Struthio camelus: one gene and its partners. The protein of the gene in region 2 interacts with the protein of the main gene of each other region in a pairwise test. Links are inferred from orthologs where the notes say so. Each region holds a gene or a part of one and is shown on either strand. Other genes may lie near its edges. The genes, in order: ZMAT4, CUL3, SHKBP1 and RHOBTB2.

What was found.
Region 1: the proteins of CUL3 (region 2) and ZMAT4 interact in binary tests that used the Homo sapiens proteins (3 or more experiments, as listed by UniProt). The two-hybrid records come from large-scale screens. The link is inferred for Struthio camelus from reciprocal best matches to the Homo sapiens genes CUL3 and ZMAT4.
Region 3: the proteins of CUL3 (region 2) and SHKBP1 interact in binary tests that used the Homo sapiens proteins (3 or more experiments, as listed by UniProt). The link is inferred for Struthio camelus from reciprocal best matches to the Homo sapiens genes CUL3 and SHKBP1.
Region 4: the proteins of CUL3 (region 2) and RHOBTB2 interact in a two-hybrid assay, tested with the Homo sapiens proteins (2 studies listed by BioGRID). The link is inferred for Struthio camelus from reciprocal best matches to the Homo sapiens genes CUL3 and RHOBTB2.

Annotation. Positions count from the first base shown.
Region 1 is NC_090968.1:7,611,471-7,619,236, forward strand, and holds the start of ZMAT4 (zinc finger matrin-type protein 4), read right to left. Parts: upstream 3,003-7,766; 5' UTR 2,611-3,002; coding exon 2,557-2,610; intron 1-2,556.
Region 2 is NC_090950.1:12,984,681-12,992,623, forward strand, and holds the start of CUL3 (cullin-3), read right to left. Parts: upstream 3,011-7,943; 5' UTR 2,877-3,010; coding exon 2,811-2,876; intron 1-2,810. UniProt on the Homo sapiens protein: Core component of multiple cullin-RING-based BCR (BTB-CUL3-RBX1) E3 ubiquitin-protein ligase complexes which mediate the ubiquitination and subsequent proteasomal degradation of target proteins.
Region 3 is NC_090957.1:394,850-402,588, reverse strand, and holds the start of SHKBP1 (SH3KBP1-binding protein 1), read left to right. Parts: upstream 1-4,734; 5' UTR 4,735-4,758; coding exon 4,759-4,826; intron 4,827-5,717; coding exon 5,718-5,771; intron 5,772-6,887; coding exon 6,888-6,933; intron 6,934-7,145; coding exon 7,146-7,278; intron 7,279-7,418; coding exon 7,419-7,499; intron 7,500-7,672; coding exon 7,673-7,739. Other genes in the region: SPTBN4 (spectrin beta chain, non-erythrocytic 4), read left to right, coding at 1-47, 798-873, 980-1,263, 1,929-2,102, 2,182-2,224, 2,367-2,528.
Region 4 is NC_090968.1:5,215,663-5,223,655, forward strand, and holds the start of RHOBTB2 (rho-related BTB domain-containing protein 2), read right to left. Parts: upstream 3,012-7,993; 5' UTR 2,904-3,011; intron 1,485-2,903; 5' UTR 1,466-1,484; coding exon 1,407-1,465; intron 605-1,406; exon of another isoform or gene 463-604; coding exon of another isoform or gene 443-462; intron 1-442. UniProt on the Homo sapiens protein: Regulator of cell proliferation and apoptosis. It likely functions as a substrate-adapter that recruits key substrates, e.g. MSI2, to CUL3-based ubiquitin ligase complexes for degradation. Required for MSI2 ubiquitination and degradation.

The DNA of each region.
Region 1 (7,766 bases), on a different chromosome or scaffold from region 2:
ATTATCTGCACAGCAACCAAATAAAACCCATTTGCTTCCTACTCACAATCCCCCAAGAGCCATGGCCCAGAGAAGTGTGCACTTAATTCCTCTCAACTTTCACTCACTCTGCCTACCTAGAGTTAAGCACCTAGTTTACCAAATTGCCCAAGCACACTCAGAAAGGAGCAGGAAGCCCTCTGGGTGTTTGTCTCCGCTGCGTGCTGCGTCCTGGTCGGGGCACGAGGAGCTTTCGGCAGCCCACGGCGGCACAGGTGTCTCACGAGCTGCCGCCGCCGCTGTCTGGCTCCCACCTCCGCCAGCCCAGCAAGGCTGGGGCGGCCAGCTGGGGCACAGCCTTCACGGGACGAGAGGGGACAGCGAGTGCCACTGCCTTGCAGCCCCTCACGCCCAGCGAGCTGCAGCATCAGTGCTCAGCCGGGGGCCCAAGTGCCTGAGAAACTACAGAGAAAATGAAATGAAGGGGCCAAGCTGCGACACCCCACTGAGCCAGCGTCTCTCCAGTCCCACCCATGAGCTGCCTGAAGGTCACAGCTGCAAAACTGCTACAGCAAAGCCTGGCTCTGCTGAACCGTCCTTTAGAGGATGCAAATACAGTAAGTGCTGCTCATCGTGGAGGAGATGGCACGGCACGGCGGAAAGCCTTCCCCTCCTCGCCTTTAACTGCTGCTTTCCTGAGGGCAGCCCCTTCTGTGCTGGCACTGCTGCACCTCGCAGCAAGGGGTGCTTTCCACGCTTGGGGAGCAACAACGAAACCTCTGTACGTTCTGCTACCTGTCGGGGGCTGTCAGGAAGAAAACTGTGCTCAGAAGAGGAAGGTGTCCATGCAACAGAGGGAGATGAGAACCTTGAAACTTAGTAGTTCCTGCCTCCGTACCCAAATCCACCCTTGGGAACAACCATGGCCCAGTTCTGATCTATCAAAACAGTTCCGGATTTCAAGTCACACCTCTTTATCTGGGTTAAGCTCCCAAGGAAAGCAAGACACCCAGATTTGACAGTCTGAGTCTAAGTGACCTAGAGCAATCACCGCCAGGAACAGCACCCGGAAGTCCTGGCCTTTCCCAGCTTCTGCCATCTCAAACCTCTGCAGTGACTTCAGGTCACTTTATGTTGACGTATTCAACCCTCTTGGAGGATTTCTGACTTTAAAAATACCTTGCAATAAAGATGGCTCTGATTAGAAACTAATAGGTCTGAAAAAGATGCAGACTGTTTGTCAAAAGTCACTTCTTGCAAAGGAATAATTTTCAAAAAACACAAGCCACTATTATTATTGTATATATTTCATCACTAAAGTTTTGGAGTGGGTTTTTTTTTTTTTTTGGTGGTGGATTTGGGAGGAGGGGGCTCAACAGCAAAACGCCTGCATGGAGGGATGATAAGTTCATAGCTGGACCACAGCTCAGTTGCTGGCACAGAGGAAAGGTCTGGCCAGGAATGTTCCCAGGTAATTCTCTAGGCATGAGGAGGAGGAATTACTTAGCATAACACAGTGCTATAAAAACAGCCAGGGAGAGGAAGCAGGGCTGTTCACTAGGAATAAGGTGCTAAATCAGCAGAGACCAGCTGGCTGCACCAATTCCATTGTAAACTGGAAACAGCAGATTAAACCAGATCACAGCAAATACCTGCAAAGCATCTCTGTACACAGGCAACTTAATGCCTTTTCAAGGGGAGGTTAGTCAGCAATGCAGTGAATAGCTAGGGAAGCCCTTTGGAGATGCATGTGCTCTACAGCACACCTGAGAAGGTGGAGATGCAGCCGCTGAGCACTTCTGGGCTTTCCGTGACTCCAGCACTGCGATAGTGCAGAAACGGCTGGGGGTGTTGGGGGGAGGGGGGGAGATTCTGGAAGAAAGTTAAAACAAAGCAATACAGATGGGGCGAAGCAAAGTGGCTTCTGAAATGTGCACACACAGGTCTGCCAGGTGCATGCAGAAATGCAAAGCAAACAGCTACATAGGGACAAAGATTAATTATTTAGGGTGACTCAGAAGTGACTAAGAATGATCAGATAAAATCAAGGGCTGGGGGTGGGGGAAACCCAAGCCAAAAAAAAAACAAACAAACTTCAGAACAAAGTCCCAGCCAGGGATGTGATCAGAAGGCAGGATTCTCCCCAGGGAGAGGGATGCAGACAGCACTTGGAACAGGTTGCAGGGGACACAGATTAGGAGGTTTCCGATCAACAGATCTATACCACTCCAGGAGTAATGAAGGATTTGTACCCTCACTATTTCTGATAAAGAGAGGGAAAGACCCATTTTTACCCTAAAAAGCTCCTCTCTGCCCCTCCTTCCAGTCCCTTCCTACGGTAGATGAGTCACTGTCTAGGATCCTTTATCAAAGCATCTCTTTTAAAATTGTTTATCAAGTCACTGCTGCTCCCACCCCACGGCACAGCACAAGGAAAAGCAGCAGGAGATCCTTCAGGTCACTGCCCATCTCCTGTGCCACAGCGAGCGCCCCAGAGCTGGAGCCCGTCTGGCCAGCCTCCCCCTGGCCGAGCAGCTCGCGCCCCGGCTGCATCCCCGCGGCTCCCTCCGGGCTCACCTTTTGCATTTCAGGCTGGTTGTTTGTGTTTGCAGATGGACAGCACGTGCTCATGCGAGAGCCAACAGCACGGTCTCAGGCAGAATATGCAAACTGGTGATTTTTAACCGGCTCCTCAAGGCTTTGCAAAGCTTGTTCTTCACCCAGCGCCGCACGCTGAGGTCGCTCCAACATCAGAGGAGGGCAAAAAGAGCATGTGTCTGCCTGAAGGGCAGGGACAGGAGCTTGTCTAGCTCGGGGACTGACTGGGCACTGCTCAGGTCCGGCATTTCTAATCAACGGAGACGGATCGCCAGCAATTCAGACTTCTCATGAGTCAGTCGGAGATCTGTCACGCAGCCCAAAGCAGCTGTCACCCAGCTCCTACCGCATAAGGGTCTGCCTTTTGTTTAGGCTGTCAGACCGGCAGGCGATTCCGTGCAACACGTGCCGGCGGCAGCCCCGCGGAGAGGCGCAGACCGAGCCCTCCGCCGGCGCCGGGCGGCCGGCACAGGCTGGCAGCTGCTCTCCCCTCCGCTGCGGCAGCGGCGGCTTCGCTCCAGCCCCCGCCAACGACTGCCTCTGTGCAAAGGCGCCGTCGCTCCGAGCGGTGCTGGCTTGGAAAGTTCTCCAAACTTTACAAACAATAGCGGAAATAAGCTTGTTTTCCTGCCTCTACAGATATTTGTTCTTGCATGCGGCAGCCCTAGGACCTCGCTCTCCCGAGCTGGATTGTGGGAAAACCTGCGTAAAGTCAGTTCAGCGAAAGCATCCCCGAGTCTCCATCCAACACGGGATCTCCTTCTCAGGAGGAGCCCGCGTTGACGGGCCTGCTCAGCTTCGAGCCACCTGCTAACAGGTGAAATGCAGCATTCGATAAAAACACCAAGGGGGAAACATCGCAAAGCCTGGGACGGGTCTGGATCGCTCCTGCAACACGCTCAGACCGCCTCCGGCCCCCCGCCGCGGGTCCAAGGGGAGCGCGGCCAGCGCGGGCACCGGGCAGGGCTCCCCGCTGCCCGGCCCCGGCCGGGCGCAGAGCTCTCCTCCGGCAGCAGCGCTGGCGCTGGGGAACCAGCCGGCTCCCCAGCAACCCACCTGCAGCACCCGGCGCCGGGCCCCGGACGCCTTGCAGATCCCCTCCCGCCGCCTTCCCGCGGGCACCCCCTCGTTAAACAGCTCTGATTTCCCAATAAACTTTCTGCAAACTCTAACCAGCGCAGACCCCAGCACCGAGCAGGGCAGGAGCGAGGAGGGGCGCGGGCGGTACCTGGGTATTGCGCGGAGGCCGAGGGAGCCGCTGGCGATGCTGCTGGGGCAGGAGCGCGCCGGGGCTGCAGTTGCAGCTTTCCCCTCCCCGCGAGCAGATCTTTCGGCAGTCCAGACCAACTGTGCTGGAAAGGCGCTCGGCGATGATCTGCCCGAGCTCCAGCTCCACCCCTAGCAGCTGCGATTGGCTCCGCGGCGCTCTGCAAGGCTGCGCTGGCCCCGGCAGCCGCCCTCCGGTCCAGCTCCTACTACCGTCAAGAGCGTCCAGAGAACCCGCTTCCACGGCCCGGGGCAGGCCAGGGAAAGGCAGAGCTGCCCGGCTTCACGCAGCACAGGCTAAAGCAAAGCAGCGGAGAGGGATTTTCCTTATTGGGAGAACGTAAGGACGTGCGAGTCTGATTTGCAAGGCAGAGACTGCGAAGGATATCAGAGGCTCCAGGGCGAAGGAATTCACTCGCAGCCTCACGCTTGGGCAGCGTCCGGCCCCGCGGGCGCCCAGCCCTCGGCACGGCGGGAGCCCCGCGCCCCGCGCAGGCAGGGAGCCGGGCCGGGCCGGGCCGCCGGGGGCGCGCCGCTGCCTCCCTGCGCGCCCGCGCGGGGCCGGGTGCTCCCCGCGCCCCGGGGGGAGCCGGCAGCTTTGCACGGCGCAATCGAGAACGCTGCTGCCGGACGAGGACTGCCCGCGCACCGTTTCTGTGCGATGTTCACACACCTCGGGGTAAATACTTCCTCAGCAAAGGCTCTAGAATGGAAATAAGAATAAATAAGTAAGGACGGCCAAGCCGTCCGCACCTGGACGGGGCGATTCCTCCTCCCGGCGCGGTGGTTCTGCGTCGGCCGCGGGACCCAGGGAGACGAAGGAGCCGCCATCGCCCATCACCGGCCAAAATACGGACCTGGGTCGGAGGCCCCAGGTGTTAAATAAGCACCCGACACACGGGAGAAGCCAAGGGGAGCAAAATCCTCGAGGCAAACCCATTGTGAGCGCAGACGTGAAAGCAGGGCGCAGAGGTCGCCATCCCCCGCAGTGCCCACGCGAGCCCTGCCCCAGCCCAGCAACTCAGCCGGGAGAGCAGCGGATAGTCCTCCCAAATGCCTGCTTCCGAGCAGATGGCACAGAAACTCCTTTTGTGTCCCACAGGCCAATTACTTTGGAGATTTAGAAAACACACTTACAAATAGCAAAAATCTGCTGCTATTTTGATGTGTATTTGACATCAGATCTCTTCAAATTCACTATGATGTTATTATTACAGTGATGTTCAGAGAGCACCATCATTTCTACATGAAATGTCTTGAGGAAAACAACCCCTTTTTTGCTAGCACAGCTAGACAAAGTAACGCATTACAACAGGACAGACCCTTGCTAACCCGCCTTGCTGCAAGGACGCAGGGACCGGAGGAGCCGTGCAGTGCTGGAGGAACGAGCTCGCACAAGGCTGCTCTGTTGGGTCAAACCGGCGGGCTGCTGCCGCCAGCGCAAGCGCTGCCCTCCCCGTCCCCTCCTGCAGGGCTGGCGGCGCACGGCCGCACAGCGCCCGAGTTCGCTCGCTTCCGCACCTCTTTCCAGTGTAGTCCGACTCCTCTGGGGGTCCGTCTCCAGCCAGCATCCTGCCTGGTACTCTGGAGTCAAAGATGTTTCGACATGACAAGGCAGCAACAAAAATAAGAACTAATGACAGGAACTTTCAGGGAATCTTGGAAGAGAGAGGTGAAGACCTCCAAATGCATCCCTCATCCCCATGAACAGAGTCTGGTCAGCATTTCTACATGTTTAATAACACAAGGGCTTAGAAATGTCCTCTGGGACAAGCTACAGGTGGACGAAACACAGGTTTCAGTCGCTCTGTGCTGCTTGCAAGATAGCAGAAGCATTCAGACAGGTTGCCCCCAGCACACTCGAAGCAGTGCAAACCAGCACCTCACACTGCACACAACTGCTGCTGTACCAGCATCAGGCCCTGTCACACGAGGCAACCGCGGCCCATCAAAATCTGTCACCGTATCAAAAAGGCCAAAAATACCTCAGGCACAGAAAGGAGAAAGGGAAAACAGCCATAGGTGAAGAGCTGGATGACCCTGATGATGTGGCATCATTGCTTGTGGTGGGGTAATTCCTTAGAACTAGAAGGTTAAGTAAGAAAAGGGTTCAAACAAGGGGGGAGGGGGGGGAACCATACACGGAGTGGAGAGAGGTTCTGCTCCAAGGCTTGGGAAGTGACATTTCCAGCCTGTGACATATATACATACAGCCTGAAGACACAGTTAAGTGGCTCTGCGGGCCTCTGTTCCCATAGCACATGTCACGGTAGGGACGAGGGTGCTGGGTCTTCTGCACGGGAGGGGAGCTCTCCAGAAGATCTTTGCTGTGCAAAGCAACAAAAGGTTGCACCTTGGAGGGATATTCATCTTCCATGTGGAGATGTGGAGAGACTTTACTCCCTCGCTTCCAAAGCCCTGTAAAACAGAGCATGCTGCATTCCCTTCCCCGATGCTTGGCTGATCAAAGTGATTACAGGCCTCCTCCATTTCTCATGGAAGAGCTCTCCCATCTAACTATCACCCTTGCCAGAGCCTGATAAAAACGTCATATCTTAAGTGATATATCTAACTGGAAAGCCTATGTTGCATACATAACAGTAACAGCAAAATCCTGGCTGGTGGACTGGGCATGAGATCTGCCAGGTGCTTGCGGCTGAGCTATGACTGATGGTCATAATAAGGTGGTGTGCTTGGAGTACCTTTAAGAAATGAGTCTATTTAGTTTGATTTGTTTCTATTAAATGTGCTCTGCTGACAGTCCCAGGGATTTTGCCAGTGCAGAGTAGCTGCCTGAGCCACACTGCTGCACTTTTGCTACCAGGTATCTGAAACACTCACCTAGTGGTGAAATGGACTTTAAATCACCCTCTATCCCAAAAACATTAGAAAGAAGGGGAAAGACTTCGCCAGCAATTTTTCCATTTCCAGCTTAATCTGCTTGACAGGACTTTTTACAAACTATTTGAGCTGTGATGCTCCATGATCCTGCCTGGTTCTTTAGCTTTACAAATCTATTAAAGAGCATTTAAGCCAAGCGTCTAAGCCTCCAAAGTTGACACGAGCTCCTTAGAGCTGCCACCTGGAGCGTCAGATACTCCATTGCTAAGAAGGGCAGATCAGACAATATTTACAGTGACACAGCTACCATCCAAGGAACAGATATTTCTTAAAGTTCTTCCTCACTTTCTTTAGGATTACATAACTCCCAGGAACATCACGTGCTCCCTTGTAATAGCAGCATCAGCACAAGAAATGTTAAAAATAACTTACAAGTTAATAAATTTTTAAAGTTTTTTCAAGGTGCATGATCTCAACTCCTAGCAAACTCATTCCTGTCTATTATGGAGCATAAGGACCTAAGCAGCAGAGTGATTTTTCCCATATTGCTCCTTCCCTCTGCGAGTTTGGGCATCAGTCTCTCAAGGCCCCAGGAACCACCACAAAAGGACGGGAAAGTCCCTTGCACCCAGGCGCGCTTGCTGAAAAAATGCCTCCTGTGGCTCCCGCAGTCTCCTGGGCTCTCTGACAGGCAAATCCCCATCCCTCCCTGTGCCAGTGCCCGGCTGGCAGCTTCGGAGGCACTGGTTGCCTCGCACATACTGCTGTGCAGCAGGCTCAGCTGGGTCAGACCACCCTGTGATCCCCAACACATGCATTTGGGGAAGCATCAAGCCGGTCCAGATACGGAACTCTACATCCTCGGCAAAGAAATGAACTGCAGAATACGACCAAAAGTCCTTAAATAAACCATGGAAGAACAGGCTTTATGGCTCCCCACCGCTCGGTCCCAGCTGGCCAGCAGAAAGCTGGCACGCCGAGCTGAGCGCTGTTACAATGGAGAGACAAGGAACCTTTCCTTTCCCTGGGGCTGCAGAGTCCCAAACACTCTCCAAGGTCTCCCAGAGAGCCTGGCAGCATCC
Region 2 (7,943 bases):
ATTTTCCTCAATTACTTTTGATTACTCTACAACCCACTTCAACATAGAATCCCCAGAACTCACTGTGCTTTGAGGAAAGAAAGAGCAACTCAGAGTACATATCAGGAGCTAATAAATGCTAAAGGACACTTCTGATGAGGGATATTCTGCCACCAGTGACAAGAAATCATACAATAAAGAATCTAGAACAAAACTAATCGTAAAGCATAACAATCTCTAGGTACAACATTTGTGGTCAAAAGTTTTGGGCAATTTCTACTCACCCAACTTCTAATAATGCAGAAAAAGGAAACATTAAAAGTAATACTATTTTGCAAAATATTACTTCTTCTTCCTTTTGCTACTGTAACAGATAACAATATCAGAAAAATATCAAAAAGATTATAAAAACAGAAAATGTGAGATCCATGATGACCTATGAACCTACACAGAGGTAGATAAGGCTCCTGGAACATAGCAATTTTATGTTACCTGTCCAATTTGGCTACCTCTAATTTAATATACTAATCAAGAGCTGCTCCCAGTGCAAGAAGGCAACTAAACAAAAACAGGCAGAGATGATCAGCAAGATGACAAATTGAAGTAACATACGAGAAGTCTCTGGTAGTGCTCCCAATTCAAAACTGAAGAGCAGAACCAACAAATCTAAGATAAAAGAATGAGGATCAGTAACTGAAGTATGAAGAGTTTGCATTCTAAATATAGACTCTATCCTGCAAACAAATGTAACCTCATTGACATGAATAATCCCACTGCAGTCACTGGCCCTATTCACAGGGCCAAAGCTATACAAACATTAAGATGACTGCAAAATTGGTGTTAGAATTTTACATGAACTATTATAGCCTTCTGTAATTATAAAAGATAAAACCCTCAAAGTCTTTCACCCAAATACATGCTCCTTTTCTATAAAGGCTTTATCAACAGGATTGTCAACAATATGCCTCAGAAAAGAAAATCTATCGAAGAGAACACCTGAAAAATTGCTGTCGATAGACATCAGCAAATACTTAAGATCTGTAGGCCTTGATGCCTATATATACTTATTGCGCTATTTGGGAGAGAAGTTTTTTTGTTTTTTTTTTTCCTCCCTCAAGATTTTTTATCTAAATATTCTTTAAGCAACTGAAAAGGAAAAAGAAACAATGTTAACACAAACAGTTTGAGAAGGAAAAAAACCACAATGACAATGCTTGACTTTCTGTAAGAACAGGCCTCTGTATGAGCATTCTTCACCCACCAACCTAATTTCGTATGCTCGTTTACAAGAACGGTCAAAAAAATAAAACGCAAATCGAAGTTTATGCCATTGTTAGGCCTGCCTTTGTTGGCTGACCCATATCTACATATGTACAGAGTTATAATACAAGGATCTGATTATCAAATTAAAAATTGCTATCTTTTGGTGTAGTACGTTATAAAACATGGACCATAGCTTTTCTCATGGTTAATTTTTGCACAAGTTTTCCTACTATGTATTTGTAAAGCCCTGGCCACGTTGCAGTAAGCCTTTTCCCTGCATTCCCATAAACCAAAATATCCTAACAGTAGTAACGTTCTTGAAAAAAAGAGTGTTTAAAAATATATAATGTGAAGATCAAAAACCTTTCATCAGCTAAAACGCATACATTTCCTAGCCCATTTTTTTCTTTTAACTTTTACCACTAAACGTAACAGTCAATAATTACTTTTAAAAGTACAGGAAGGACTAAGAGGACAGCAGTACAATTCAGACTGCTATGGCTGAACCAGCTGTTGAGAACATAAAGGATTCTCTAATTTCATCAGCAAGAGTTTCAATGAAGCAAATATATTGATATATTCCTTGCCAGGGAAATAACATAAACAGGTATGTCCAGTTTCTTCATAAAGGCAAGGCACATTAGTTCTATACCACTGCCGCTTAGGATCAGGCATAACATCAAAAAGTTATGCTAAGCTTTAAAAGCCAATGACTCAACTAAGAATCTTCTTTTTAACACATACATAGATGAACACGCACACACTTCCTGGCCATCCTTAGGCACACTGCAGCTTTCCTACTTCCCTCGTTCCTTCAACACCATTAATAGTACTGTAGCTGTTATTCTGTCGTAAGCTTTAATTGCACCAACTGTCAAAACAGAGCAAGGTTTATGGCAGTATAAATTAATAAACTGGCTCATTCCCCTCCGTAACTCAAGGAGATGGCATGCTGGTGGCTCTGCCGAACACGCGTGGAAGTTACCTATGGCCAGATGTTTATAGTAACACACTCTGCACACCTGGCATTTTGCCACCTAAATCCTATAATCATAGGCTTGTAGTCTCTTCCACAGAGAGGAGAATGAAATAAATTCACCGAGAGAAAACTCCGCAGAAGACATAAACAAGCACACACACACACACACCCTGCTTCCCGGGTTCACCAGTGTTCTTGATGCAGGTACACAACCTCCGACTCCTTCTTCCAGGCCTTTTCGTCCAAAACAAAGGAACCGGCCCCCCCCACCCCGCAAGCCCGGGGTGGATTTTCGCGACCGATTCGCTTGGCTGGCGAGCAGCCCACTAGCGCGGCCACCAGCTCGCCGCCTGCCCCGGCCGCGCGGCGGCCGGCAGCCCCGTGAGCTCCCCGCTCCCGCCGCGGTTCCCGCCGGGCCCGGGGCCGCCCGGCCCGCTGACAGCTCGGTCGGCGCCCGGCCCGGGCCGGCTGCGCAGGGCGCCCGGCGGTGCCGGCAGCGCGGCGAGGCCGCGGGGCCTGCGGGCGGGCGGCGGCGGGGCCTGCGGCGGCGGCGCTGCGGCCCGGCTAGGCCCGGGCGGCCGGTACTCACGGGGAAGGCTCGGATCCGCATCTTGGTGTCCTTCCGGCTGCCCGTCCCCTTGCTCAGGTTCGACATCTTCGGGCCCGGCCGGAGCGGCGCCTCCCGCGAGGCAGCGGCGGCGGCAGCGCCGGGGGCAGGCGGAGCGGGGCGGCGGGCCCCGGGAGCGGGGCCGGGGCAGGCCGCTGGCGACCTTCACTGCGGGCCGCCGCGCCGGGCGGCGGGCCGGCCCGGGGGGGGGGGTGGGGGAGGTGGCGGCGGCGGCGGTGGGGGGGGCGCGGCGGCGGCGCAGGCCCCGGGCTCCGGCGGCGGCGCTTCCTTCAGCCTCCTCCTCCTCCGCCGCGATGGCGGACAAACATCGCTCAGTGCGCAAGGCCGGGCGCCCCCCCCTCCCCTCCTCCGCTTCCCTTCCCACCGCCACCACCACCCAGCGAGCGAGCGAGGCAGCGAGGAGACAGATCCGGCCGCGGCGGCGGGGCGGGGGCGGGGGCGGCGGCAGGCGGCAGGAGGCCGCGGGGCGGGGCGCCGCCGGGGGGGGGGAGGGAGGGAGGGAGGGAAGGAGGGAAGGGGGCGGGAAGGAGGAGGGAGGGAGAGAGGGAGCGGAGGGGCGGGGGCGCCGCGCCGAATCTCGCGAGACTTCCGGCCGGCCTCCCGGCGGCGGGCGGGGCGGAGCCGCTCCGAGCTGTCACTGTCGGGGGCGGCGCCGGCGGCGAGGGGGGAAGGAGGGCGGGAGCGAAAGCGGCCGCTGATTGGCGGAGAGCGGCGCGCGGCGGGGAGGGGCGAGCGGCGCGCGAGCAGGCGGTGACGCCGGCCGGTTGCCCCTCAGCGCGGCGGGCTGAGGCCGCAGGCCACCTCGTGGGCCGCGCGGTGCCTGGCACCGCCTGCTGCCCCCCCCTTTTTTATTTTTATTTATTTTTAACATGCCCCCCTCCCCCTTACTATCCCCCCTCTTGGGGTCCCCGGATGCGAGACGTTTTTATTTTCGGGGTAACACACAGGGGCTGTCCTCCCGCGCCGCTGCTCTGGCCACCTGCGGTGAAGCTCGCACGGCGCTGTGAGGAAAGGCAGACGTTTTGTGCCTCTTCCTGCTGCTCAGCCCTCTGTGGCCTCCCAGATGTCCACTGTGCCCCTCTGAATCATGCCACCCGTAGGCGTAGCCCTCCGTGGGAGACTCGTACAATGCCCTGATGCAAGGCATTTGTTTTCTCTCCTCTTTATTTATGTTTTGTTTCTCATCAATACGTGCCTGAGAAATGAGACTGCCACCTGAGGCAACGCTTGCATGAGCACAGTGCTAAATATAGGTCATTCAAGAAAGGGCAGTTGCTGCAAAAGGGAAGAGTGTTTTGAAAATGTCAGATTTTGTAAGTCGGCAGCAGCTTAGTACCTCTGGAAGTTACGTTGCTCAACCAAAAAAAAGAAATCTAGGTCCTAGTCACTAGGGGACTAACTGAAAAGTTAGTGGATGAAATTGAAATGTGGGACAAAACATCACTTGCTCGGGTTCCCCCAGAGGATCTACGCAGCATAACCAGGAAGAGCATTTCTTTTAGGTGACTCTTAAACCAGACTCTGAATCTTGGGCATCTTGCAATGTCCATTTTTCATCCAGCTCCACTTGCTTCTCTATCACTGTTTCCCTGCAGGTGCATCTACACTTTGCAGCCTTTGCCCTCAGAGGTAACATACCTCTCGGAGCTGGCCCACCTTCTGCAGAAGTAACTTCATTTTGGTCTCTCAGTTTGTTACAACCACTTCCCCTTGAGACTACAGATGTTTGTATACGGGATTTCTTCTTAATCTCCTGATCAGAATTAAGTATACGCCTAGAGAAGATGTTATATAACAGCAGCACAATAAACAATGATTGCAACATGACTTTGCAATACCAGCCAGCCCTGCTTAAAATTATAGTGAATGTAGATGAAACAGAAAAGATGTGATGGGAAGGGAAAGATTGCCCTTTATTAATATGAAGAACATGGCTTCTGTATTGTTTCAATATGATTTGCAGATTATTTCTCCTCCTAAGTATTTCCTTTGCCAAATGAGGATAATATTGTATTTCAATGACAGTAAATTCCAATATTTTTTCTGTAACAGTGAAGATCAAGTCACTTGAAAAGTTTTCATTTTGACTCTTGTGAAAACGGATCACAACACTTAAATAAAAAGTAAATTTGTCCTAATAGTTTTCATTTTGAGAATGTTGCAAGTGTGCAATGCAACAAATACAATACTGTTTTCAAAAAGCCAAACTTTCCCAGAAATAGTTTGCTTTTGAGGAACTGGCATTTCTTCATTCAGGAAAAGAAGGGAAAAAATTGCTGAAAACAATCCTAATGAACTTTCCAAGTATCCATTACTGCCGATTGTTCTAGATAAACTTTTCTAATTACTGCTTTTGTGCTTCCTCCCATACTGGCCTATGCTTACCGCAACCCTGGAACATCAGTCTCTCGCCTTCTGCTCATCCTAGTCGCTACTAGCACACATTTTTATCTGAGGGTCTGAAAAGTGCTGACTCACCCTTAGTTGCTGCTCAGCCCAGCATGGTACGCTGAATTAAAAGTAAAATTACTCTCACACCCACTTCCCTCAATACCCATGCCAGCTAGCTTAATTCCACGCTGTGAGCCTGTAGATCTAACACACAAAGAGACGTATATTGCTAGTTCTTATATTATTAAAAGCTGAAACTGCTGCCTGAGACATCTCCTTATGCAGATTTGCGACCTGGTGGGGATATCTGCTATACAGAACTGCACCAGGAGCTCCTCCCTGCATTCTGGAGGTCTGTTCTGGGACAGACCATGTGGAGACAACTACAGTCTTTTCACTGCAAGTTTTCTCTTTCCATACATAATCTACAAAATGAAGCTTTGCTAAAAACAAGGTTGGAGCTCACACAAAGAACTATTTTAGAGGTTCTTTAGGTGCTTATAACATTAATTATAGACTGGTCAAAACCAGAAAGATGAGTGGAGGAGGACAGACTAGCATAGGAAGAGTTAGCCACCCTATTGCTTAACTGGGTCATGGCAGCTATTTTACGTGCGTATCTTGCATATCTTCAGTTAGTCCTGCAGTGAGGTAACGGTTCTTGTGAAAAAGAATGGTCACCCTTCTTGAACGTTCAGGATCGTGTGTGTTGCAACAACCTTAGTCATATTTTCCACCAATCACAACAGCATACAGACATGAGGTATGAAGGCCCCCAGAACAAATTATACTGTGCAGAGAAAAGCTCAACATATGCAGTGTATGCCAAGTGGCCATTCACTTTTTTTTTTTTTTTCCTGAGGTCATCAGGCCTTTTTTGCTGAACATATCACTAAATGCAATACTGAAGATGCTCAGGTGCTTGGTAATCCATACAGAACCTTTTCACCTGAAAGGCATATCATCACCTTTCTGTCAGCACGAGAAGGATGACCCTTTTCATTGATATATTTATCTTGAAGGTGGCAACAAACCTTTAATTGTTCAAACACTGTCTTTACAATCTGATTTAGCACTTACCTTAGTCATGTGAAGGGCAGCAGACATATTTGACCAATGTGAAGACAATATGCTACATCAGACTCAATCTTGATTAACATCTTCATAATCAGGCTTTTAAAAGCTGGATGTGGTTATTGTTTAACTTACAGAAAAATGTTCTTATAAACTTAAACAGTGACTTTTTCCTTGTTGAGGCTTGATCATGCTCCGCTGAAGCCAGGAACCAATATTTTGAAGATAAGCATCACTTCCAAGGAATCACACATACCTAAATTTTCAGGTCTTCCTTACATATTCACTCACCGCCTTCAGTGATATACAACTACTGAAAAATACAAGTATAAAGAAAAAAAAGGTTTCTGTCACAGCAGGAAACAGAATGACCCAATTCTGATCCCAGGAGTACCTAAACGCTTGAATGTAAACTCCTAGATAAGCATTTCAGGGCTTGACCTCACTCTATAAGGTCCTCCTACAGACAAACAAAAGAGTATTTGCATACAGGGGTGGGAAGAAGAGTGAGCTCTCTCCCTTTAAAGTGCAGAATAAAGGAGCAGGCATTTTTTTTTAAGCTGCATCACTTTGCATGTGATGGTTGCTTTCAAATTTGCATGCATTATATGTGACACAGTAACCCCATCTATAAGATAGTCCCTTCACTTTCCCATGTTACTGTTTTGGGAGAAACAATAAACAAATCATTCTTTCCATCACAACTTCCACAACTGAGGGAAAAATGTGTATTTTTTGTAACAACACAGAGATATGTACCAGCAAAATAAACAACCAGTGAATAAACATAGGTTGATTTTGAATACGTTGCATTGAGGATTCTGACAAAGGTAGTCCTGCCAAAAGCAGAATTTTATTCCAAATCACGTAAAGACCAACAAAGCTCAGCACGATCCGGTAAATACCCATTTAGTGCCTTGTCTTAGTCCTTCCCCTATAAATCAAAATAATATCTCAATGGATTGATTCCGTGTATAAGGTGCATAGATTATAATAGGTATGGGGTCAGTGGGGTATTATAAAAACATGGGAAATACTCAGAAGCATGATTTATTAGGACACTACTATACTTCCCTTCAAAGAAGCAGGACAGCGCCAAGGTGCGCTCTTTCGCATAGTTTCTATCCACTTTCAGACTTTTCTTTCCTGCATGTCCTGAATGAAGAAAGGGTTTTGTTTCTTTTTATATCTGCCTTCATCACTGCTTCAGAGGACTTTAGGGAGGGGCATAATTAGACACAATAAAGCCACCAGCACATCAGGTAGCGCTGTAATTTTTTTCATTTAATTTGCTTTCTTTTCTTCCACGAACAGAAATAACGTAAATATTATTTGTTGTAAAAAAGCAATGTGGTGGTTTGGTTTTTTTTGTTTTTTGTTTGTTATTTTTGCCCCGTGGGGGTGGCTGAGAGGCCTCGGGGTGCCGGGGAAGGCTGTGGGCGCCAGGCTGCGGGTGTGCGGAGGGGCAAGGCAGGCTGCTGCCGGTGCCCGCGCTACCGGCAGTACCGCCCGCAGGACTGCAGTGCTGGAGCCACGGGGCAGAGCCCGTCTAGTCCCCCCTGTAGGGCCAGGTAGGGTTTTTACTTGCGGAGCGCGCAGCCTGAGGTGCACAGAAGGAAAACAGGCAGG
Region 3 (7,739 bases), on a different chromosome or scaffold from region 2:
GAGTCCAGCGAGCAGGAGACGCCGCGCCACGATGGCAAGGCGGGCGGGTGAGACGGGGCCGGCCGGCGCGGGGGCGGCTCCGGCCGGGATGGGTGCAAAGTCCAGCTGGGATGGATGCAGGGTGCGGCCGGGATGGGTGCAGGGTCCAACCAGGATGGGCACCAGGTCTGGCCAGGATAGGTGCAAAGTCCAGCTGGGATGGATGCACGGTCCAACCAGGATGGGCACCAGGTCTGGCCAGGATAGGTGCCAAGTCCAGCTGGGATGGATGCACGGTCCAACCAGGATGGGCACCAGGTCTGGCCAGGATAGGTGCTAGCTGGGATGGATGCAGGGTCCGACCAGGATGGGCACCAGGTCTGGCCAGGGTAGGTGCCAAGTCCAGCTGGAATGGATGCAGGATGCAGCTGGGGTGGGTGCAAGATCCAGCCAGGGTGGGTGCAAGGTCCGACCAGGATGGGCACTGGGTCTGGCTGGGATGGGGGCCAAGTCCAGCTGAGATGGATGCAGGGTGCAGCCGGGATGGGCACCAGGTTTGGCCAGGATAGGTGCAAGGTCTGACCGGGATGGGCACCAGGTCCAGCCAGGATTGATGCAGCGTGCAGGTGGGTCTGTCTAGGATGGGTGCAGTGTCCACCCAGGATCAGTGCGAGGTCCGGCCAGGATGGGTGCAGGGTCCAACTGGGATGGGCACTGGGTCTGGCTGGGATGGGGGCCAAGTCCAGCTGGGACGAGTGCAGGGTCCTGCAGGGACGGGAGCCCTGAGGGTTCGCCCTGACGCCCGCCTCTGCCGACAGCAAGGCCACGCTGGCCGACATCGTGGAGCAGCTGCAGGAGAAGGAGTCGTCCGGCCCCGTCCCGGCGCCGGCCCTGGTGAGTCCCCGCGTCCCCTCCGAGGTGGGCGCCGCGGCGGGGTTTGCCCCCGTCTCCGGCTGGGAGAGCCGGAGCTCGCCCCGACGGCGCGTTCGGCCCCCTCCAGCCCCGGGAGCGGGAATCCCCCGGCCGCCTGCCCAACGGCATCGACATGCTGCCGGAGAGGATGCCGCGTCCCGACCGGCCCCGCGCCCGCGACCGGCCCAAGCCCCGGCGGCGGCCGCGGCCCAAGGACGCCAGCCAGGCGCCGGGGGAGGCGCGGCGGTCGCGGTCGGCCCCGGCGCAGAGCAGCGCCCCGCCGCCGCCGCCCCCCACCCACACGGTGCAGCACGAGGGCTTCCTCTTCCGCAAGCACGAGCTCGACGGGCCCAACAAGAAGGCGTCCAACAGGTGAGCGGGGGGCACCCGGCCCGCGGGGGGCCGAACGACACCGGGTGCACCCCGGCTCAGGGTGGGGGGAGGTGTCCATGCAGCACTGGGTTCACCAGGGCCTGGGGGGGTCTGTGTGATGGAGAGGGTGCACCAGGGCTCAGGGGTCTGTGCAACCGAGAGGGCGCGTTTGGGTTCGGGGGTGTCCGTGCAAGGGAGCGGGTGCACGAGGTCTGGGGGGTCCATGCAGTGGTGAGGGCACGTTTGGGTTCGGGGGTGTCCGTGCAAGGGAGCGGGTGCACGAGGTCTGGGGGGTCCATGCAGTGGTGAGGGCACGTTTGGGTTTGGGGGTGTCCGTGCAAGGGAGAGGCTGCATGAGGTCCTGGGGGCTCTTGCAAGGGAGAGGGGGTGCACCAGGGCTCGGGGTCTGTGCAAGGGAGAGGGTGCACTGGGGTCCGGAGGAGTCTGGGCAAGGAAGAGGACGCACCTGGCACGCAAGGGTGAGCACGCAGCAGAGCTCGGGGTGGTCCCCACGAGGCAGAGGGTGCGCCGGGGCTCGGAGGTCTGTGCAAGGGTGAGGGTGCGCTCGGGTTTGGAGGGGTCCGCATGACGGCGAGGGCTCGGGGGGTCGGCGCACCGGGCGGGCGCGCACCCGGTGCCGGCAGCCCCCGCCGTCGATCCGGCAGGTCCTGGGTGAACCTCTACTGCGTGCTGAGCAAGGGCGACCTGGGCTTCTACAAGGACGCCAAGGGGCCAGCGTCGGGCAGCACGCACGGCGGCGAGCCCCTGCTCAACCTGCACAACGCCACCAGCGAGGTGGCCAGCGACTACAAGAAGAAGAAGAACGTCTTCAAGCTGAGGTGCGCCGGGGCGGCCGGGGCGGGTGCCGCGGGGCCGCCACCGCCGCTGCTGCCACTGATGCTCAGCTCCTTCTTGCAGGACTGGTGACGGCAGCGAGTTCCTGCTGCAGGCCAAGGACGAGGTACGGCGGGGCCGGGACTGGGGCTGGGGCTGGGGTCAGGGTCGGGCGGCCGTGCCGGGTTCGGGCGGCCGTGCCAGGTTCGGGCACTGTGCCGGGTTCGGGCGGCCGTGCCGGGGCTGACGGCCGTGCCGGGCACCCGCAGGACGACATGCGGAGCTGGCTGAAGGCGCTCGCCACCTGCGCGCAGGAGCACGCCGACATCGCCCGCTGGGGCCAGGCCCTGCTCACCACCTCCTCCACCGACGAGGGCATCCCGCGCCGGGAGGGCGACCGCCGCGCCAGCACCTCGGCCCGGCGGAAGTGACCCCCGCAGCCCCCCCCACCGGCCGTGCAGGGGGGGCCCAGCTCGGCTGTGCCCTCCCCAATCCTCCCCGCCGGGGGATGGAGTGGGTCCTGCATGGGGCAGGGAGCCCCCCGCGCCCCCCGGCCCCGCTGCGGGCCCCGAGGGGGCCGGGCCGGGGTGCCCGGTGGGGTTTGGGGAGGGGGGTCCGGTGCAGCCCCCCCCCCGGCCTCTCTCCCCCCACCCGCCGGGCTCGGCCTCCCCCCTTCCCCTCCGGCGTTGCCATGCACAAGCCATAGAGCCACTGCAGCGCGGCCGCGGTCGCCCCGAGGTCCCCTCGGCACGGGGATCCCCTCGGCTCAGGGATCCCCCGGCTCAGGGATCCCCCTGGCTCAGGGATCCCCCTGGCATGGGAATTCCTCCAGCTCAGGGATCCCCTTGGCACAGGGATCCCCCAGCTCAGGGATCCCCCCAGCATGGGGATCCCCTCGGCACAGGGATCTCTCCGGCACAGGGATCCCCCCAGCATGGGGATCCCTGCAGCATAGGGATCCTCTCAGCTCAGGGATCGCCCCAGCTCAGGGATCCCCCCGGCTCAGAGATCCCCTCGCAGAGGAATCCCCTCGGCACAGGGATCCCCCAGCTCAGGGATCCCCCCTCCTCAGGGATCCCCTCAGCACAGAGATCCCCCTCAGCACAGGGATCCCCTTGGCTTGGGGATCCCCCCAGCTTGGGGGTCCCACCTGGCACAGGGATCCCCTTGGCTCGGGGATCCCCCCAGCTCGGGGGTTCCACCCGGCACAGGGATCCCCTTGGGCACTGGGGGTGGTTTGGCACTGGGGTCCCTGCCTGCCCCCCGGGGTCCCGTCGTGGTGCCCGGGCCTGTGGTGAGGGCCCCCCCGCCTGCCCCGGTGCCCCCCACCGCCCGGGGCTGGCTCCTGCCCGCCCCCCCCCCACACACCTCGCTGCCCCGGCCCCAGAAACCGTGCTGCTGGGATGGAGTTTCTATTTGTAAAGATTTTAACAAAAACCAGGAAAATAACCAAAAAAAAAAAGCCTCACCCCCCCCGCCCCGCCCCGAGCACGTGCCCCCCGGGCCCCCCACACCCCCCGGGCCTCCGGGCTGGCGCCGGGGGCGAGCGCCGCGCTGTCACTGTATAAATGTAATAAACCCCCTCGCTGCACCCCACGGCACCCCCGCGCCCCCCCAATAAAGGAGCAGGACGGGCCCGACCCGCCACCCCGGTGCCGTGTGGGGGGAGGCTGGGGCTGGAGGGGAACCTGGGGGTCCTGGGGGGGTCCTGGGGTCCTGGGGGGGTCCATTGGGATGGGGGGACCTAAGGGACCGCGACCATGGATGGGTCCATGGGGCTGGAGGAGCCCATGGGGAGGTCCAGAGAGATTGGAGGGGGGTTCATGGGGGTCCATGGGGCTGGGAAGGGTCATGGAGAGGTCCATGGGAGGGTCCATGGGGCTGGGGAGGGTCATGAGGGGTCCATGGGGGCGTCCATGGGGCTGGGGGAGCCCAAAGGGGGGGCTAGGAGTCCCATTGGGGGGTCTATGGGGCTGGGGAGAGTCATGGGGGGGGTCCATGAGGGGTCCATGGGGCTGGGGGAGCCCAAGGGGGGGGTAGTTGGGGGGTCCATTGGGGGGGTCAATGGGCTGGGAGGCTCCTGGGGTGCCGAATAGCTCTGAGGGATGGGGGTGACTGTGCTGCACCCCTGGACCCCCCCCCCCCAAAACGGGTGCCCCACCAGCACTGTTTCCCCTCCCTCCCATGTCCTCGCCCCTTTAAAAAGGGGCGGAGTTGGGAAAAGAAAACCCCACCCTCCCGCCATGACTGGTATCGCATTCAGCCAATGGGCGTGCAGGTGTGGCCCTGATAGTCATAGGGTGGGGGGCGGGCGCTCGATCCCGCGTGGCCAATGGGGAGGTGAGGGGGCCTACAGACGTTCACAGGAGGGGGTGCTCGGCCGCGATTAGCCAATGCCCGGGCAGGAATGAGGAGGGGGCGGGCTCACAGCTCCACGTGGCCAATAGCGACTGGGGACGAGGAGGGGAGGTGAGAAGGGGCGGGCCGGCGCCTGGGTGGAGGGGTGGGAGGGGGCGAGGCCAATCGCCGCGCGGAGGGTCGGGCGGGCTGTTCGGGCGGGCCAATGGCGGGGCGAGCGGGGCGGGCCCGCGGCGCGGCGCGGCCAATGCGGGGCGCGGGGCGGAAGCGGGCGGAAGCGGCGCCGTGGGGCGGCGGGCGGCCATGGCGGCGCCGGGCGGGGCGGCGCGGCCCGGCGGGGAGGTCGTGCAGCTCAACGTGGGCGGCAAGAGGCGCGTGCGCGCGGCGCCGGGGCCCCCCCCGGTTCCCCCCTCCCGGTTCCCCCCTCCCGGTCCCCTCCGGATCCCCCCTTGTCCCTTCCCCGAGTCCCCCAGGCCTCTCTGACACCCCCCGGGTCCCCCCCGGTCCTCCTAGGCCTCCCTGCCCCCCTCGGGCCTACGCCCCCCCCGGCCCTCTCAGCCCTCCCCGAACCCCCTCAGGCCCCCTCGAACCCCTCCCAGACCCCCCCCAGATCTCCCGGCCCACCCGGCTCTCCCGTATCCCCCCGACCCCTCTCAGGGAGAGCCCGGCCCCCCGCTCCGGGTCTCCCAGGGCTCCCCCCCCAATCTCCCAGACCCCCTCCCCAGACTTTCCTGGGGCAACCTGGCCCCCCTGGGATCCCCCAGGACCCCCCCAGCCCTTCCTAGAGCCCTTCGGGGTAGTATGAGCCCCCACCCAAGTCCTCCCCCCCCTCAGTCTTCCAGCCCCCTTCCCCGACCACTCCAGGGTCTCCCCTGCTCCCTTGGTCTCCCCAAACTGCTCCAAGCCCCCCAAGGCCTTCCCAGGTCTCTCCAGACCCACCCAGGGCCTTCCCTGGTGCAGCCCAAGTTCCTTGGGTTCCCTGGGACACCCCTCAGGTCTCCCCTGACCCCTCAGGACCCCGCTGGGTCTCCCTGGCCCCCCCCAAGTCCCTCCCGCACCTCCCCAGGTGCCCTTGGTCTCCCTGGGCCTCCCCAGTTCCCCCTGGGCCACCCTTGGCTTAACCCAGACTCTCTGGGTCTCCCCCACTGCCCAGGACCCCGTCAGGCTTCCCTGGGTCTCCCCAAACCCCCCAGACCTCTCTATTCTTTTCAGTGCCCCCCCGGGGTCTTTCTGGTCACTCTGACCTGCACCCTTGCCCACAGGTTCAGCACATCTCGGCAGACGCTGACCTGGATCTCAGACTCGTTCTTCTCCAGGTGATGCGGATGGACCCCCCTGTCCCTCTGTCAGCTCAAACTCCCCCGAGGACACCGGATCATTAGCATCAGGGTGGTGCTGGGGCTCACAGAGCCGCGCAGCTCAGCTATGCGGCAGGGCCTGGACCAGCAGCTTGGAAATCTGCTCTGCAGAGTGTGTTAGGGAGGCTGGAAACTCCCTGGACACTTTTTTTGGTGGTAGTTAGCCCCATCTCATTAACTAACATTCCCCCTTTGGCCCTGGAGGCAAGGGAATGGAGGTGCCCGTGGGTCAGCGTTAGGAGAAGGGCACAGAGGAGTTTTGGCTTTTCCCATCACGTGTCACCCACGCAGCACGGTCCAGACACGGGTGTGTGTGTTCAGTCCCAGCGCGTGCTAGCCAGTTGCTCCCTGGAGCAGACCTGCAGCTCTCAGGTGGGTGCTGATCCCAGTCAACGGGTTCAGTTGGTTCCTGGCTGCCCGGAGACAAAGTTTTCTGGCTCAAGTGGTGGAAGAAAGTTACCCGCTTGGAGCAAGTGCTCGTGACTGCTGCTCTCCTAGCCTCTTCCTCTCCTGGGGTGCTCCTGCTCCCCTGCTGCTGGGCGCAGCTGTAAACGGCTGTAATAAGTCAGGTCCTGCTGTCTCTTTCTCCAGGGACTGAGCTTTCCAGAGCACTTGTGGCTGGTCTGATGCGTTGCCTTAGGGTTTTGCTTGGGTAAAGCCACCCCGGGGTGAGCTGAGAGTAGCCTCCTACCTGTGCTAGGGCCAGGGCTCACAGACACAAGGACAGGAGATGTTTTCTGGCATGTCTCCAGTCCCCTGCAGGTGCTGTTAGAGGCTCTGAGAGGTCCACTAAGCCTGCCAGCGCCTGCACACGCTGCCATTTTCTCGGCTTGGGGATGGGAATTACGTGCTGGTTGAGGGAAGCCCATGTCCCCCAGCCGCAAAGAGGTGAAGAACCCTCCCTCTGGGTCTGATGAGAGCAGTTGTTGCAGCAGGGACTGTCCTTGTGCGGGGCCGTGCAGTGCCCTGCCTTCGCGCAGCACCGGGCACTGCAGGGCCCGCAGCACAGCTGGAGCCCGGAGGAGCGGCTGAGCTCTGCACACAAACTTTCTGTCCCCTCTGTTCAACCCACAGCCTCCTGAGCGGGCGCATCTCCACCCTGAAGGATGAGACAGGAGCGGTGAGTTCTCCGTTCGCCTGCCGTTGCCAGATCCCTGGCAGTTGGGGTCAGGTCAAATCCGCAGCGAGATGTAGCAAGCCCTGCCCTGGGTGGGGGTCCTGGTGCCAGGGAGAGCCCAGTGGTGCCTAGCTCCTGGGGATCAGCATGCCCCAGGGGGGCCTGCCAGGTTACAGCAGGAGTTTTCCCTTGGTGACCTGCTCTCTTCCTCCCAGATCTTCATCGACCGGGACCCCACTGTCTTTGCCCCGATTCTCAACTTCCTGCGGACCAAGGAGCTCGACCCCCGGGGCGTCAGCATCTCGCTGCTGCTGCACGAGGCAGAGTTTTATGGCATCACCCCGCTAGGTGATAGCTCTTGGTGGGGTTCTCTGCTGACATGTGGAGAGTGTCTGGGCCGGGGGGCAGCTCCCTGTGGTGGGGAGCTCTGTGCAGGGAGAGGGGCCAAGGGGCAGGGGCTCACGGCTCTCTCTCTACTCTGCCACCAGTTCGACGCCTGCAGCTGCGGGAGGAGTTGGATCGGTCGTCCTGCGGGAGCGTCCTGTTCAACGGGTACCTGCCGCCCCCAGGTAGGGCTGAGCTGTGTGTGGAGAGGGGAAATAGCATGTGCCAACCCAACAGGGTCATGGCTCACCAGGAGCCCCCAAGGAAGGGGTTGGCAGGGGTGGCTGGCCCCTCTCAGTGGGGTTCCTAGGGAAAGGGTTCATCGGAGGCCTCAGCAGCACCCTGTCGCTGCCCACAGTGTTCCCAGCCAAGCGGCGCAACCGCCACAGCGTCGCGGGGCCCCAGATCGCCGCTCGCCTGCAGAG
Region 4 (7,993 bases), on a different chromosome or scaffold from region 2:
GAGAGCGGCCCCGTGCCGTGGGGCTGGGGGAGCGCAGACCCCGCAGGGCTCCTGGCATCCCCCCTTTCCCGCGCCCACTCGGAGCCTGAAAACTCCGAGTCATCTTCGCAGGGCGGCCGGCTCGCCGCCGGCCCCGCGGCCCTGACCCCGCGTATCCGCATCATGTGATGCCTGGCCGCCCTCCCGCAAGGCTTCCGCCGGCTCCTTGCCCGCCGTCGCCTGCGCCTGCCCGGGCTAAGCTCGGCCCCCCGCTCCCGCGGCGCTCGCTCGGCCGGGCTCGCGGGGCCGGCGCTGATGCGCCGCGGCGTCGGCCCGCTGCAAAACCCTGGCCGCTCGCCTCCCCTCGCGCCTGGCAGCCCGCGGGCGCCGGCGGCCCACGGCGGGGCCTCCAGCCCGGCCGCTGCCCGCCGGCCGCGGCCCCCTCGGCCCAGCCCAGCCTCACCTCACCCGCAGGACGGCCATCTCTCTCCGCAGCGGGAGACGGAGCCGCTCAGCCGGGGCTGGGGAGGGGGGGCCCTGCGGCCGGGCACGGGCTGCTCCGCGGCGCCGGCGGGGACCGCGAGCCGGCGAGGGAGCTGCCGGCGTTCGCGCCAACGCTATTTGTTTCCCTGCGTGGGGCTGGAGCAGAGGCTGCGAGCCGCCGAGCTGCAGCTCGAGTGGGTCACGGGGAAGGAACACGCCGAGCTGGTTTGCCAGCCGCATGATTTGGCTTATTTGCTCTGTCGTAGCAGGTGTTTGATTGTGGCATAAAAAGTTCCTGGCAGCTTCATGGTCAGCCGAATTCCCGAATGACCCCCCCCCCCCCCATCTCCCCCGCTTTTGTGCCAAACAAAAGCACAATTGTGACTTTCGGTGAAAGCGCCCGGGCTCCTGCGCAGCGGAAGCAGGGACGAGCCTGCAGCTGCTCGGGTCCCCCGCGGGGAGGAGAGCGGGGCGGCCGGGGGCTGCGGCGGGCAGGGGGCGCGCGGCCCCGACGCCGCGAGCGGCCGCTGCGGCGGGGGGCACCGGCCGGCTGGCGAGGCAGGAGCAAAGCGCCTGCCGCTTCCCACCGCCCCAAGGAGCAGCGGGGCCGGAGGCGCGGCGAGGACCGCGAGCCCCGTCTTCGCCGGCTGCAGAGCACGCGGCCGGGTTCGGCAGCCGGAGGCCCGTCCCACCGCCTGCGCGCCGGCACCGCCGGACGGTTTCCCCCAGCTCGAGGCAAGGCTGGAGGCGGCCGAGGCAGCCGCCGCGTCCGCCCTGCCAATCCCGGGATTGGCCTGGCTGCAGAGCGGATGCGTCGCTCTGCTCGGGGTTAAACGGGGCGTCAAAGAGCAAAGGGGCCGGGAGAAAGCGCCCGGCGAAAACCGCCTGAGCGCGGGACGCGACCGCGCCGGAGGGGCCGGGCGCCCCCCGAGCCGGGTACTTACAGGCTGCGCGCCATTGCTGCCATCTTCACGCCGCGGCGACCTTTCTCTGGGGTTTCCATCTCTTTCCCGTAGCAGGTTCTGAAAGGAGAGGACGGAAGGGCTCCGTGCGAGGGTCCCGAACCGGGGCTGGCTTCCTCCAGGCGCCGGCCCCTCGAGCCCTCGAGGCCCCGGAGCGCAGGAAGCCTCGGGGCAGGGAAGCGCCGCGCCGTGGCCTGGGCGGGCTGGGGGGCCGCAGGGGGCTCTGCCGGCACTGCCCTGCCTGTCCTTACGCCTTACTGCCGGCTCTGTTCTCCCCGTGCCCCCACCGGCGACACCCAAAGCGGTCCAGGAGGGGACACGTGCAAGCATACGCGCGCACCGACGTGCTTCCCTTCGCGCGGCAGCCCGGCTCCGGCTCGCGCCGACAGCCTCCCGCTTCGCTGCGGGCGCCGGGGAGCTCGTGAAAGGAGCGTTTCTCCACCATTCCTCCTCTGTCCCGCAATGCAGCAGGACCCGTCTCAGGGAGAGGAGGCTGGGGGGGGCTCCGCCGGGCCGGGGGCTCCCTGGCAGTTCCCTGCACCGCTCGCACACGTGGTGTGACCCGGCTGCACGCACGCATCCCTCTCCCAGGGCTGCACCGCTGCCACCTGATACGGGGACCCGTCGGGTTTAGCGACGCGGCCGGCGGCAGTCCCGGCGCGTGGCCGGCCGCCCCCAGCCCCGGCTCCGCGCGCGTGCGGGGCTGCGGACGCCTCGCGAGAAACCGTGCCAAGCTGCTATTTGGGGCAAGCTCCCCTAATAAGAGCGCATCCTCTGGCTTCTGCCTTCGCCTCCGCTCCTGGCTCTCTTGCTGGGGGAGAGCGGGGCAAAAGCAGGCGGCGAGGCGGCCGAAGCCCAGCTAGCCGGGCCGGGGCCCCGGAGCCCGCACGGCGCCGCGTTCGGAAAATAACTACACATCCAGGAGCCAAGAAGCTGTTTCCAAGCAACTGTCTCCAGGAGGGATGGAGACCACAGGAGGGGGGACAACTGGGGCGAGATAGGGAGCCCCGCTGCTAAAAAGCTCCTGTGGGGCGCCGGTGCCCCCAGGAGGCTCGCTCCAACCCGGTCCCTGCAGCTTTCCGGGCCCCGACTTGCAGGCGGCTCTGCCGCTCGGTGGGAAGGCGGACGCCTCCCGACCGCGGGGCGCTGCGCCCAAGCGATCGCCGTCCGAAAAAAGCTGCAGAAACCGTGGGCGGCATCTGAATTTCTTCGATGCACTCGCTGGCTTCATCCCCTTGCGGAAAGCCTAGCGTTTCTCGGGCCATTTGGGTCTTCCCCCCCCCCCCGGGAGCCGCCTGCTTTCCCGCACGCGGGAACGCCTCTTCGCTCTGCCCCCTCCAGCTGCAGGGCCTACGTTAAAGCGCGTTTTACCCCGATGCGCCCGTTGCCCCGGCCCTCGAGGGCGGCAAGGGGGCAGCAAACAGGGGCCGAGGGCGCCGCCTGCACCCAAGGGGCTGCGCTGGGGGCTGCAAAGGTTACCTGGGCCGGGGGGGACTCGCGGCCGAGCCCCTGGGCTGCACCTTCCCGCTGCTCTCCGGCGTCCCGGGCGCCAGGGACGGGCGCTCGCGGTTGCTCCAGGTGGCGACTAGCCTGGAAAGGTAGGATCTGTTTTTATACGTTTGCCCATGTGATCCAAACAAATGCCCTAGGGATGAGTTTTTGCACTGACACAAGTCAAGGGGCCGGGACTAAAACCTGTTGAACCACAATCCGGACTCAGCAGAAAGGAATTTTCCACTCGGAGCAACCGAGCCGGGCTGTGCGCGTGCCGGCGGCGCGCTCCCCGGGCCTGCGCCCTCCGCTCCCCGGCCCGCGGGGGCAAAAAGCGGAGCGGGGGGACGCAAAACGCATTGCGCTACGCTTCTGCAACGATGCCACCTCTTTTAGACTCATTTTATTAGTAGATCTTTAAACACTCTTGAATAATTCCCATTTTACAGCTGGAGAAAGCGCACATGGATAGTTGGATGGAAAGGAAGTGTGAAAGTATATGTTAAAGCCGTTCAGTAAGATTTAAATTCTGCACATAAATGCTATTTCTCCTGCAGCTTGTGGAAGAAACCGCAGCAGAAGGGACCACCCAGGATAAGAAACAAAGTGGAAAGCTTTACTCCAAAAGGAGCGACTCTCACCGCAGCCTCTGGGCTTGACAGCGGCCCTCCTGCCAAAGCCTGGCGGCACGGTTTGGAGGCCTGCCCACCCCTCAAGGGGCTGCTCCTGCGGCTCCCGCGTTACCTGCCAGGCGAGCCGGGCGCAGAGGAGGAGCGAGGGCCGGGAGGGATGGAGGTGACCAGCCGGCGGGGAATGGAAAGGGGAGGAGGACCCCGAGGAGCCGGGGTGAGTCAATGGGAACCGCCGGCCGGGGAAACGACGGCGGGCCTCGGCGAAGGAGAGGAGATGACTCCGTGGGCCTGCGGTGAGTCAGTGGGAAAGGAGGGTGCTAATGGGCTAAGGAGGAGCGGGCGGCCGTGGGATTAATAGGAGACAGGCGGTGGCCCCAGGGGCCTGGGCCAGTGTGGTTTGGGCTGCTTTGCTGGAGGGGACTGAAGTGCTTTATGTGGAGGAGTGCTGCATGCAGGTACTGCTTTTACAGGCACCAAGGAGGCACGTGCTGCTCATCGCATGCATGGTGTTTTCTGCTAGTGCAGCTGTTGCCTCACCTCCTAATTGGGATGCTGTTGTGCCTCTGTGCTGGTGTGTGTGGCTGGTGCTTAGTCATGAGTGCGGTATGTTCCCACGGGTGGCAGCGTGCTTTGCTCAGGCCCCAGTGGAGCTAAGCAGGAAAGGGGAGCGATGGGAGGTTTCAGCTTGGCTCTGTGGTGTGTGCAGAGAAGGACCCTGTTTTGCTGGGTCAGGGTGCAAGGGAGGCCGCTCCCTGCCCAGAGCGATGTTGGCTGGTGGCTGCCAGCTCTGTGCATCTCTGAGCAACCTGCAAAATGCTGGGCTCTGTGCTGCACCGCTAGCTCCTGACCCAGCGGCAAGGGGCTGCCTGGCTGGGGGCTGGTCCTTGCTAATGCAAGCTGCCCCCTCTTGTTTTGCAGCTGGCTTCCTGGGGTCTCGCTGCAGGGCTGAGGGTGCTGTGTGCCTGGTCCATGCTGTGGGGGTAACTGCAGGCCCTGGGCAAGGAGGGTGGTGGGTGCCAGGGGTCCAGGCTCAGCCTGTGATGCAGCTTGCAAAGAGCTGTCAGGGCCCTGTGCCGAGGGGGAAGGGGTGCTGGGGTCTTTGGGTGCTGGGGACCCACGTGCTGCTGGTGAGGCCAGGCTGAGCAGCCCAGGATGGATGCCCCCGACTGGCTCTGGGGAGGTCTGGAGTGCCCTGGTGGGGGCTTCCCAGGACTCCCTGAGCTCATTAAACCTGTATGACCCCCTGCTGCACACCAGTTAAACCCATTTAAGGAAGGGCTAAGCCAGTTTAACCATTGCCTCAATTACCAGAGCACCTAATCTGGTGCAAGTGCATCTACGCTCCAGGTTTGGGCCAGCTTATCTGTCTTGCCTCCCCCCCGCCCCATCTGCAGGCTCTAACACCAGGGCTGAATCTGATACGGCGCTGTTCAGATGTCCCCACTCAGCCAGCCTAAATTCCTGTTTGCTCCCTGCCCTGCTCTGGTGGGGAGCAGGGGTTGCGGTGGCCCCCCGAGCCCTGGCAGGGCCAGGCATGTGGCTGGGCTCAGCCTTGCCTGAGTCAGCGCGAGGATGTGGCCTTCCTCACCCCCCAGCTCCTCCTCATCACCTGGCAGCCTCAGGGCTTTCCCACGGTGGCATCCAGCCCTGCCTGGGGACATGTCAGGGACCAGTAATGGGTGTATGTGTGTGTGGAGGTGTTTTTCCCTCCTCCCTTCCTTCTCGGCAGCGGTCACTAACCGGCTGTAATCTCAGTACCCCTTTGCTGTCATCTCAGCGCCACCGTCGTGTCTCGGGGCAGCAGCCGGGGCCGTTGCGCCGCTCTAACGAGCGATGCCAAGCGCCTTTCCCTGCCTCTGGGCCCCGGGAAGGATCCTTAATGCCTGCAGCGTTTAAGCCTGCCCGGGAAGGAGGAGCTGGCCCCCTCGTGCCCGAGCGAGTGTGGAAGTGGCTGGGTAGCGCCTTGGCAGGCGGCTCGGCTCGGCTCAGCTGCGCGCTCGCCAGCGCCGCTGCCATCCGAAAGCTGCGCCAAGCTGCAGAGCTGCTGGCGCCGGGGGGAGCGGGGCTCCTGCGCGGCTCTGCGCCTGCCTTGTGACTGCAAAACGAACGCTCTTAATATAGGTCGAATGAAAACATTATTCCCAAAATAGAAGACCGTCCCCCGGCGGGAGCAGTCACAAGGCGCCTGCCGCGGCCGGGGGCTCCGGCAGGTGCCTTTACGTAACGGCCGCCGAGGGACCCGGCGCCGCTCCCGACTCCAAGGTCACCTCCCGTAAGCCTCGCTCCGGGACCCGCTGTGCGTGCTGGAGCGGTCGTGTCGCCCTCCCCAAAACGTGCCGGCCAGCTCCCGGAGAGGAGTTTGTGGATGGGGCGAGCGGCCGCGTGCTGCGCCGGGGTGCGGGGCTGGCGGCAGCGCTGCTTGCGTGCAAAACCGTAGCGAGGGAGCTGGCTTGTCTCGTGCGAAGACAAGCGCTGGTGCCGAAGGAGCTGGGCTGGGCTCAGGGTTGCGTTAAGTGCTGCCTGGGGGTAAAACACGCTCCTCGCTTGTACTGCGCTACCAAGCGGTGCTGCAGCTTTGCAAAGGGGATAGGCTCGCGGGAGCGCTCTCCGTGCACCGCGATGCAACGCAGGGGCGGCTCTGTGGGCTGCTGCCAGCGTCGGGGACTGCACCCAGCTATGTGTTTACTGCCTTGCAAATATTGAATATTCCTCCTCCTCCTGAGGGCTCCTGTATTGCTGGGCGTGATGCCCGGCTATGGGAGAGGGGCCTGGGAAAGGCACCGTGCCCAGCGGCCTCTCTGCCGTGAAGCAGCGCCCGGGGCTGCAGGCTGGCGCTCGGGCTGCGCTGCATCGCCCGAGCCTGCCGGCTGCAGGGGGCCGCTGGAGCCAGCGTCTCCCCAGGGTGACGTGCCTGAGCTCCCCGAGTGCTGGCTGCTGATAACGCCTCCCTGCCTCGCCTCCAGCAGCTGGGCACCGGGCTTGCTTGCTGGCATCTGGAGCTTAAATCCTGACGGGATCAGAGGCAGGAGCCTTCCTGAAGCCTGGCAAAGCCTTAGCAACTTCAAAGAGCTAAAAGCATCATCTGTCCCCTCCGTGGTCTTATGACGACTCCTGCTCCGTTTGCTCTGGCGGCAGGTTTAGAGGGCAGTGCAGAGGGATTGGAGGAGGAGACGGGTGCCAGAGCTCAAAAACCCCTTTAGTGGCTCTGGCCGTACCTTCCCCTGTGGTCGTTTGGGACTTTGCTGCTGTTCGTGGCCGCACTTAATCCAGCGAGACCGAACCCAGCTGCCTGCTGGAAAATGGGGCAGACAGCAGTGAGAGTTCAGGCTTCAGGCTTTGGCTGGTAAAAAAAGGAAAACAGAAATCCTTTCTGTTAATCTCCGAGGCTGGCTGCCTGCTCCTGCCGCGGATCTGCTCCGCAGGAGCTGCCCACGGCATTTCGCAGGCACGCACCAAGCGCTGCCCTGGCAGCCCCTGTCAGTAAGTGCTTTATGCGGAGGGTGATCCAGCCTCATAGGTGTCTGTTTAGGGGGTGCTTGGGTTTTTTGGGGGATGTATGTGAGCAGATTGCTCTGCATCTTGCCTAAGCAGCTGACAAACGTTGCAAAGACCCAAATATAGGTTCAGCTAATGAACTCTCTGCACTTGCGTTGGAGCTAGCAGTATAATCTGGCTCCCCCTGAGCAGGTTCAGCTTCATCTTATTGCAGTAAAACATGAAAGGGCTCATGCTGCCTCTGGATAGGGACTAGCTGACCTCATTTCTGTTAGCGAGATGCTTTCTGGTGCTATCAAATACTCCTGTTCTGTAACTGAAGCGCTTTTTAATGTGCCTCTCTTCTGACTCTTCAGAGGAGAAGACTCCTTATCAATGGGGCATTGAAAGTGCCGATTGGTACAAAACTAAGCTCTTGATAACACACTTTGAGGTCTAGATTTTGCAAACACTGAACTTCAACTCTTGGCCAAGGGCTATTTTTGATTTCTGTAGTGGCTCTCACAGCAGTGACAACCCAACTCTGCGATAACCCCTGGACCTTGTGTGGCAGCAGACAGGTCCATCCAGGAAAGCCAGGCAGCTCCCAAGCCAAACAGCGCAGTTGTGCCTCCTTCGTCTGTCTAACTCTTCCCAGAGCCTTAAAATTGCCTGAGGAGTGCTAGCCTTGCCAGTTAGTGTGGATTTATGGCCAAATGCTTTTAATTCAAAGCACTCTTGTCCTGTGGGTTGGCTTGCTCAAGATGAAGATGAGCTTGTGGTCCATGCTAAATAGCACTTGAAGTTGGAAGTGGAATTGTGAGCCATGCAAGGAGGGAAACTGGGGAATAGCCAGCGAGTGGGGGAGCTCAGAGCCACGCGGTGAGGTTACGGCTGGAGGCGCAGCAGCGTGAGCGGGGAGGCAGGATGTGGTTTTTTGTTTCCTTTGCCAGTTGCCATGTAAAAGCCATC